Linked DNA regions of Rattus norvegicus. The protein of the gene in region 1 purifies or fractionates together with the protein of each later gene. This does not show direct contact. Links are inferred from orthologs where the notes say so. Each region holds a gene or a part of one and is shown in the gene's direction. Other genes may lie near its edges.

Evidence for each region.
Region 2: the proteins of Kcnq1 (region 1) and Akap9 purify together in Homo sapiens (affinity purification with western blotting; 3 studies listed by BioGRID and IntAct, with this or other methods). This does not show direct contact. The link is inferred for Rattus norvegicus from reciprocal best matches to the Homo sapiens genes KCNQ1 and AKAP9.

Annotation. Positions count from the first base shown.
Region 1 is NC_086019.1:207,719,569-207,724,060, forward strand, and holds the start of Kcnq1 (potassium voltage-gated channel subfamily KQT member 1), read left to right. Parts: upstream 1-1,629; 5' UTR 1,630-1,698; coding exon 1,699-2,084; intron 2,085-4,492. UniProt on the Homo sapiens protein: Pore-forming subunit of the voltage-gated potassium (Kv) channel involved in the regulation of cardiomyocyte excitability and important in normal development and functions of myocardium, inner ear, stomach and colon.
Region 2 is NC_086022.1:31,011,244-31,015,055, reverse strand, and holds the end of Akap9 (A-kinase anchor protein 9), read left to right. Parts: intron 1-656; coding exon 657-786; intron 787-1,324; coding exon 1,325-1,461; intron 1,462-3,040; coding exon 3,041-3,078; 3' UTR 3,079-3,581; downstream 3,582-3,812. UniProt on the Homo sapiens protein: Scaffolding protein that assembles several protein kinases and phosphatases on the centrosome and Golgi apparatus. Required to maintain the integrity of the Golgi apparatus. Required for microtubule nucleation at the cis-side of the Golgi apparatus.

The DNA of each region.
Region 1 (4,492 bases):
GGTGAAAACTGTTTGTCTCAGTTTGTCCCCTATCTCTTACTTCCCCGAGGTGGCTTTCTGCTTTGGGATTTCACAGCACAGTTGGAAATGTTTTCCTTAGTGACAGTTTCTTGAGGCAGGTGCTCCCCCCCCCCGTGCCCCCCCCCCCGGTCCTCATCAGACCCAGGTCCTTGCATGCACTAGGCACATACTCTACCTCTGGCTATACCAATGGCCCCTCACCCTTGTTCTTTCTGCACAGGTTCAATTTTTATACCAAAGCCTTTGATCCACCTGTTCTTGTTTCCTTCTATTGCTTCGATAAACACCAGAACCAAGAGCAACTTGGGTGAGGAAAGGATTTATTTCAGCTTACCGGTTACAGCCCATCTTCAAAGGGAGGCCAGAGAAGGACCTCAATCAGGAACCTGGAGACAGGCTTGCTCAGTATTCCACATAGCACCAACTCCCATCAAAGAACTCATTCACAACCAAGGAAGCTCAGCAGAAAACCCAGAGGAACGCTGCCTGCCTGTTCTCGGGCTCATACTCAGCTTGCCTTCTTATAAAGCTTAGGACCACCTGCCCGGGAAACAGATGCCGCCCACAGTGGGCTGTGTCTTCCCACATCAATGAACACAATCAAGGCAATCTTCCTCAGACACACCCACAGGCTAACCCAATCTAGGCAGTCCTTCAACTGATTCTCTTCTCAGATGACCCTAGGCTGTGCCAAGTTGACAATTGAAGCTAACAAAGACAGTATCTGAAAGTTATTCTTGTGCGTGGTGTGAGAGTCGGGCCTGGCGGATCACAGGAGAATGGGATTTGGTGATTGTCATGGGATGCAGGTGCCCTTATACCCCACACAAAGGCCAGCGTAGCAAGAGCCAGCTGCATAAACCTTCTGACTCTGGTCTTACACCACCACAGGACAAGAAGCGGTCTTCTGTGTGTCTCTGGGGAGCTACAAACTTAAAGGGAGTAAACATAAACGCTCAGGCAGACCCACCAGCGGTGTCTACAAGTAAAGCCCACAATCTAGCACTTGCCTTTTAGCCCACACTCATTGAGTGGCACTCATGTCAGTCCCCATTTCCTCCATCCCACTGCTTTACTGGACCGTGATTAACTACTGGGAAGGGATTTTCACATTCTCTGCCGCCAGCGGAGGCTTCTGGACACCCGAGGGTGCTCAGTGTTCTCCGGGCCAACACTTCCTCATCCTGTGCTGGAAAGTATCCATACGTGGCCCAGGATGCCCTTCTCTGCCTCCTGCTTCCTCTCTAGGGAGGGTTCTGATGGCGAGAAAAAGGGTGATTGTGGTCGACCTGATTCGTGGTGGTGGTATCTGCTGGTCCCAAGTTAGAGGACCCTAGAGCCAAGCAGACTGGCGGTCCTCGGGGTGCGGGGAAGCACGTGCGCCCAGCAGGTGCGCACCGACCGGAATGCGGAGATCAGACTGGCATGCCTTGGCGTAGCAGGTAGCCCGCTGGCTGAGCCAGGCCGCAGGTAGGCGCGCGGTGGCGCCCGGGGGCGGGGCGTTCTGGGGGCGGGACATGCCATCCCGGGGGACCAGCCCCGCCCCCGCCCCCAGGCGGAGCGGACAGCGGCCCCCCGTGGCTGGGCTGGCAGCAGGCCACCCGCACTGCGCCCTGCGCTCTGCGCTGCCTTCATCTCTGCTCTGAGGAGCGGCGGGGTCCGGGGTCCTGTCTGGCCATGGACACGGCCTCCTCCCCGCCCAATGCTGAGAGGAAGCGCGCGGGTTGGGGCCGCCTGCTAGGCGCCCGGCGGGGAAGCGCGGGACTAGCAAAGAAGTGTCCCTTTTCACTGGAGCTGGCCGAAGGTGGCCCGACGGGAGGCACGGTCTACGCGCCCATCGCACCAACCGGAGCTCCAGGGCTCGCGCCCCCCATGTCGCCCCCTGTGTCGCCCGTCCCGGCCCCTGCAGACCTCGGCCCACGTCCGCGGGTGAGCCTTGACCCGCGCGTCTCCATCTACAGTACGCGTCGCCCGCTGCTGGCGCGCACCCACATCCAGGGCCGCGTCTACAACTTCCTCGAGCGCCCCACGGGTTGGAAGTGTTTCGTGTACCACTTCACCGTGTGAGTAACCTCCCCGCACGCAGGACTCCTAGGGCTGGTGCCACTGTGACCCTCAGGGAGGCAAGGAAGGGCTAATCACATACCAGACTGGGAGTCAGTCCTTTCAGTTCAGAGACTCTGCTGGGGCTTAGTGGGGCATGTGGTGGGGGACACTTGGAATATGGAGTGTACCAACTTAAGAGCTCCCCGAGGCCATGCGCTTGGGATGGAGGGACAACACTTAGGTATTAGTCCCCACAGGAGGAGTAGGCAAGCTGGGAGCCTGCCTTTTGGTGTGAGTCAGCTGTGACAAGAGACTCAGGAGCCCCCAGGAATGACTGGTGTCGATTTGTAAACCCATCCAGGCCTGGGTGGATGTCTCTATCTTAGGCACTCAGAGAAGCAGGGACGTTTGCAGGATAGATTGGCAGGTGCAGTTGTTGCCCAAGATGTCCACAGGGAGTGCCTACAGCTTCAATAACCCAAGCTGAGGAAAGTGGACTGGATGACCTGAGCCCAGCCAACATTGTCTAGAGTCCATGAGCAGCACCTGCTTTAGGCAACAGGGGAGGGAGGGAGCAGAGCTGCACCTGGCCCTCACTTCTACCAGGTGGCACTTATTCTCACCGGCTGTCTGAGAGGGGCAGGGCACTCAATTTTTCAAGGGCAGGGTCACAGAAAGTCATCTTCAGGAATGATCTGGCTGCCTTCCTTGCTGCCTCCCCCTGGCCAGCGCTTTCTGGCTGCCTAGTTTCTTAGCGCCCTGCCAGCCTCTGGCTCTGGATTCTACTCTACCCTACCGACCCTGCAGCTAATTCCTTTGGATGTTCCACTAGGCGACCTCCTTGTGGCTAGTCTTGCCACCTGGGTAGGGGAGGGCCTCCACTGGGTGTCCAGGGTTCTGTGTTTGGCTCTGAGGCACAGCAAGACCCAAGCTCACGAAATTGAGTTCTGATGGTCCTTTGCCTTGCAAAGGGAGACAATGATCTCCCATGGTATCCAGGACAAGTCTCTGGGCACCCTGTCCCCACTGGCATTCTTGGTATTTAAGTCCTTAAGGCACTCCCCAATCCCCCAGTCTTACCTCCCAAAGTGCCAGGACCCCTGAGGTTTCATTGCTGGTCTTTTGAAGATGGAGACACACTGCATGTGTCTGTAGCAGCAGTGGGCTTTTCTCAGGGCATAGGGAATAGTGTGCAAAGACCCCAGAGGGCCTTAACCACTGTAGGGAATGCCTGGCAAACAAGCCTGCTGGATCCTAAAATCCCTGAGATGAAAGGGGTTGGGTGCTGGAGTAGTCCCTACTCTGTTACCTTTTTATCCAGGATCCTCATTCGCCAAGGTGAGCAGCCTTCGGACACTTGCATGGAATCCTCCTGGGGAGGCAGGTCATTAGAATGAGCGTTGTTAAGTTCCTGACTGTGGTAGCCTGGCCCTGGTGGAGGAAGAGGGCTTGTCCCGCCCCAGAGGAAGTCTGTGCTTACACTGTGCTTTCTTCCTGAACTGGATTGTTCAGCTCTCGGGAAGTTTGCTTAGCAGAGCTTGTCTTTGCCCAGCCTTCCCAGGAGCCAGGAGCCACTGGGCCCTGGTGGCTTCTAGATTGGTGGTCTAAGGTCTTCTTTGTCAAGGAGAGGGAGAGAGATGCTAGCTCCTGAGTGGTGCTTGGTGAATTTTGCCCAGCCCTGTCCCTGGCTGCCCATGGAGTTTAGTTACAAGGAGGGAGGGGTAAGTAAGCTGGGAAGACCCTGCTGGTTACAGCATGTGGTTTGCTCAGACTCAGAGGGAAGGGGCCTCATGTCCATCACCTTCAGGAGGTGGGCAAGACCTTTAGGGTCAGGCAGTTTCCTGAGATGAGACATGGCCAGCAGCTGGGAGCCAAACATCTTTATAAAATGCACGGCCATGCTGGTTGCCCCTGGTGTTGCTCTGAGTAGCAAATGTGGCTTGCAAACTGTGAGCTCTGCACTTGGTAAGATGGACTCTAAAACATACAGGGATGGTTCTGTGGCCCAAGGGACAAGCCTGCTTTTGAAAATCAGGGCATGAATGTGGGGGATGGGTGGAGGGGGCATAGGGGTGACAGCCAGTGTCCTGTAGTCTCTGGGGTATGGTTTCCCACTTGCGTATGGGGAAACAGACCCGGACATCCTGGCCCCTCCTTGGGGGACCCTTGCCTTGGCCCAAGTAGAGCAGCTCTTCCTGTGTCTGTGACCTTCCCTGGCTGACAGGGTCAGGACACAGTCCCCAGACACTGCCCTCTGCTGCTTGGGTTCCCACCCCATTATCCTAATCCTGTCCTGTGGCTCTTTGTGTCCCCATAGAGAGCAGCCCCCTTGCTAGGCAAGGTCCCAGGGGGCCAGCTGTCTTGCTGCTGGGCCTTGGCCAGGATCAGGGGCAGATGTTCCAAAGTATCTACTCTGATTGGAGAC
Region 2 (3,812 bases), on another chromosome or scaffold:
CACACCACGGTGTGAGTACTGAGCCATGTTCAGTGGTCCTGACAGCAGGCAGCAAAGAAAGCCTGTGTAGACCCCTGAAAATGTTAGGGTAGCCTGTTAGACTGAGATGAGATTTTCACCATAATGAGTTGTGTTAGCACAAAAAGTTAGCAAGTCTTGATTTCACATTTTTTTTTTTTTTGGTTTTGTTCCCAGTAAAGGTAGACTAGAGTAGATAAGATTTGGTTACTAAGTGCAGTATTTTAATCCATATCACTTTTCCTCCAAAGCACACATACTTAGAAGCACTTACACCTTTGATCCGGTAGCAACTAGGTATTTACAAGGGGAATATTCCAATGAGTTTATTTTCTTAGAAGCATAGTTCTTCATACCAGAAATAGTCATGTTCAGAGGTAGACAGAAAACCACTGAAAGGCTCTTTGGTTTGTATCGTTCTCTTTTGGCCAGAATTGGAAGTAGCTGTAAGTAGTACGAAGTAGACTATTAGAGCTTATGACTTTTGTGCATTATGAGAGCAAAACATCTTTAGTTGTGTGTAGTTTCTATAAAGTTTAGAGCCTGAGCTACCGTATACTATTCTTTTAAACCCTTACTGGTTTATAGGTGTCTTCTGAGACCTTTTTCATTATGGTGATATATTTGGATTTATTTAGGCATTGAAAAGACTGACCCATTCTATCATTCGTCTGGTGGGCTGGAGCTGTATGGAGAACCAAGACACACAACATACCGCTCAAGATTTGATCTGGACTACCCTAGGTCTCCCTTGCCATTGCAGAATAGGTAAGAATTTATCAGGTCTGGGTGGCATAAGCAGTAACATGTCAGCAAGAAGTAGATTGTTAGAGTTTATAACTTCTTTGCATTGTGAGAGCTAAGAATCTTTAGTTATATGCAGTTTCTGTGGAGTTTAGAGCCAGAGCGACTTTTTATTTGTAAATGGTTTCTAAAGGCATAGAAAACAATTTATAAATGGTTTATAGATGTATACTGCAGTTAGACATTGGAAAAGTATTGATTACCATCCAATACAAAAAAGAAAATAATACTGTAGATCTGTGAAAAGTTGCTTAACACAAATCCTGCATATTCTGATCACCTCTGAAGGGCTTGTGCTGGGCCTTCTCATAATGGCATCTTTAAATTTATTGGCGATTTACTTGTTATCCTATATTTAGAAGTCTGCTCAGGCAGTGTATAGAGTGGGAGGGGGTGGGGGTGGGGTGGGGGAGGGGCATGGGGTGGGGGTGGAGAGGCAGGCTGTCAGTTTTTCTACATTGTTTCTAGCAAATTGGATTCCTGAATATAATTTAATCCATAGGTACCCGGGTGCTCCAGACTTAAATTCTACTTCAATGGCTTCTTCTCAACTTCACCAGTACAATCCTGATAAATCTCTGACAGACTATGTCACTCGGCTAGAGGCACTGAAAAGGCGACTTGGAGCTATACAGTCAGGTGCTGGATCTTAACCACTTCTCTGTAGCGGCAGTACACTTGTGCCTTTCTCTATCTCCTCAACATGCTTCTGCAGGTTAATCAAACCTTTTAGCTCAGTGAAGAAATTCCACGGTGTCCCAGCTTAAACTCTGACCAGCAGAGAACTATCTCTCCTGTGTTCCAACAGCACCCCTGACAGTGATTTTGTAGTCTTCACTTGGATTAGACAAAATGCATGATGGGTACCATCTGAGGCCCAGCCCAGAACCTGTTCCTAAGTAGAGTATGGTAGAAAGCAGCAATGTGTAGAAGGCAGAGCAAGCCCTGCCCAAAGCAGGTAATGTAGCGATTGTCTTCATTGTCCTTCCACATGGTATCCCAACAAGCTTTGCCTTGCAAAACACTAAGTATCATCATACCTCCCCTCACCATATGAAATGTGTTCCGTAAAGTGACTCAGCAGTTAAAGGCCCTGCCTCCAAGCCTGAGTATCTGAGTTCAATCCCCACAACCCACAAGGTGTAGGAGATGACCAACTCCTACAGGTTGCTCTCTGCCCTGCACTGTGGGATATCACCTACACACATAGATAAAAATGTAATTTTTAAGATTTTGTAAGAATAATTTTACTCAGAACTATACACAAATTGTCATACTTTATGTAGAGGAAGATTTCATTCATCATAGGAATGCTTCCATGATTTCATTCACTCACTACTGGTCCAAAGACTGGGTCGATTTAGTTTAAGCTATTGTGCTAGCCCTGCTCTGATGGATTCGTTTTGCTTGTTTGTTTTTATTCATTCTATATGTATGAGTGTTTTGTCTCCATGTGGTCTGTGTACCACATACATGCCTGATGCCTGCAAGGGCCAGAAGAGGACATCAAACCTCCTCGGACTGGAGTGAGCTACTGTGTGGTTGCTGGGACTCAAACTCAGGTCCTCTAGGAGTGCTTCTAACAGCTAAACCGTCTATTCTTCAGCCCCTGGTCATTTTTTAAGGACTCTTTTTCTATTGATACCACATACTGTGGACCACAGTTATTTAAAGGTAGTTCAGTTCTTCATTCAAGAAGTCGGGTATTTAACCCAAGTAACCTTCGTGTGCTCATGAAATTCATCAGCACTGACTCTCTCTTCCACTGCTGTAGGGTAGTCAAGGTGACCTCTAAATATAGTCAGCCTCTTGGAGCTCAATTTAAGCTGAGGGCAGATGGCTTTGTGTGAAGAACACTGTTGTTTAGAGACAGACTTGTCGTTCCCGGCACCCAGTCTCATAACTGCCAGTAACTGCAGCTCCAGGGAACCCAGTGACTTAGGGCACTCTGTGCTGCATTCACACACACACACACACACACACACACACACACACACACACACACACACACAGCATACATGTACACACATCTGGCTGCATATTGGTTGTCATATTGAGCACTCAAGCTCAGATTGTTAGACTTGCCAGCACCACAACCACTGGAACACCTCACGGGCCCCTGGCATTTTGAGATGGTTTTAAACAGACCCATCTGCCCATGTCGTCTGGCTGCCCTCAAACAGGTACGAGTCTAATTGTTTTGTATTTTATTTTACAGGGTCGACTACTCAATTTCATTTTGGCATGAGGAGATAATCCTTTGAAATACTTATTGAATATTAAATGGATTCCCTTTTGTAAATCAATGGCTCTTTTGTGCTTTTGTATTGTGAATATTCAACGGGACCAATACATACACAGCTTATGATTGTATACAAATCCTCAGCAGCACATGAAGACAAACTGGAGTTTGTGTATATAAGCATTGTGTGTGTTCATGCACAGTAATCATTAAATTACATGTATATTGTGGAATGCTAATTTAAATGATTAAATTATAAACTTTGTGTATTTATCGGAAGGGTGAAAAGATTAAACTTTTTCAAATGGCAATGCTGCCGGATGCATAGCGTGCGGTGTCCTGCGCTTTTCTTACAAAGCTACTGAAGTTACAAGTTTCTGCTTCATAGATTTGCTACTGGTGATGAAGACAACATGTCACTTGTAGAGACCTATTTTTGTATAATGGTCTAAGTTTTGAACTTTATGGGTATTTTGTCAAGTACTGAAATAAAAATGACCTCACCATTTTCACTGTACTGTAGTGGAACCTTCTTGATTTTTCACCAAGCCACAACTTGTGGTCCCTGTCATCTTGTTACTTGTCTCAGCTCAGGTTCCAAAAAGTGGTTTCTCTCTCCCTCCATTAAAGGACATTTTTAATGCCACACTAAGGTGGCATTAGTGTTTATGATTAGTCCATGTTTTATTCTATTTAGTGTTCTTGAGTCCAAAGACACAAATCTAGACACAGAAATCAGCTCTCAAAG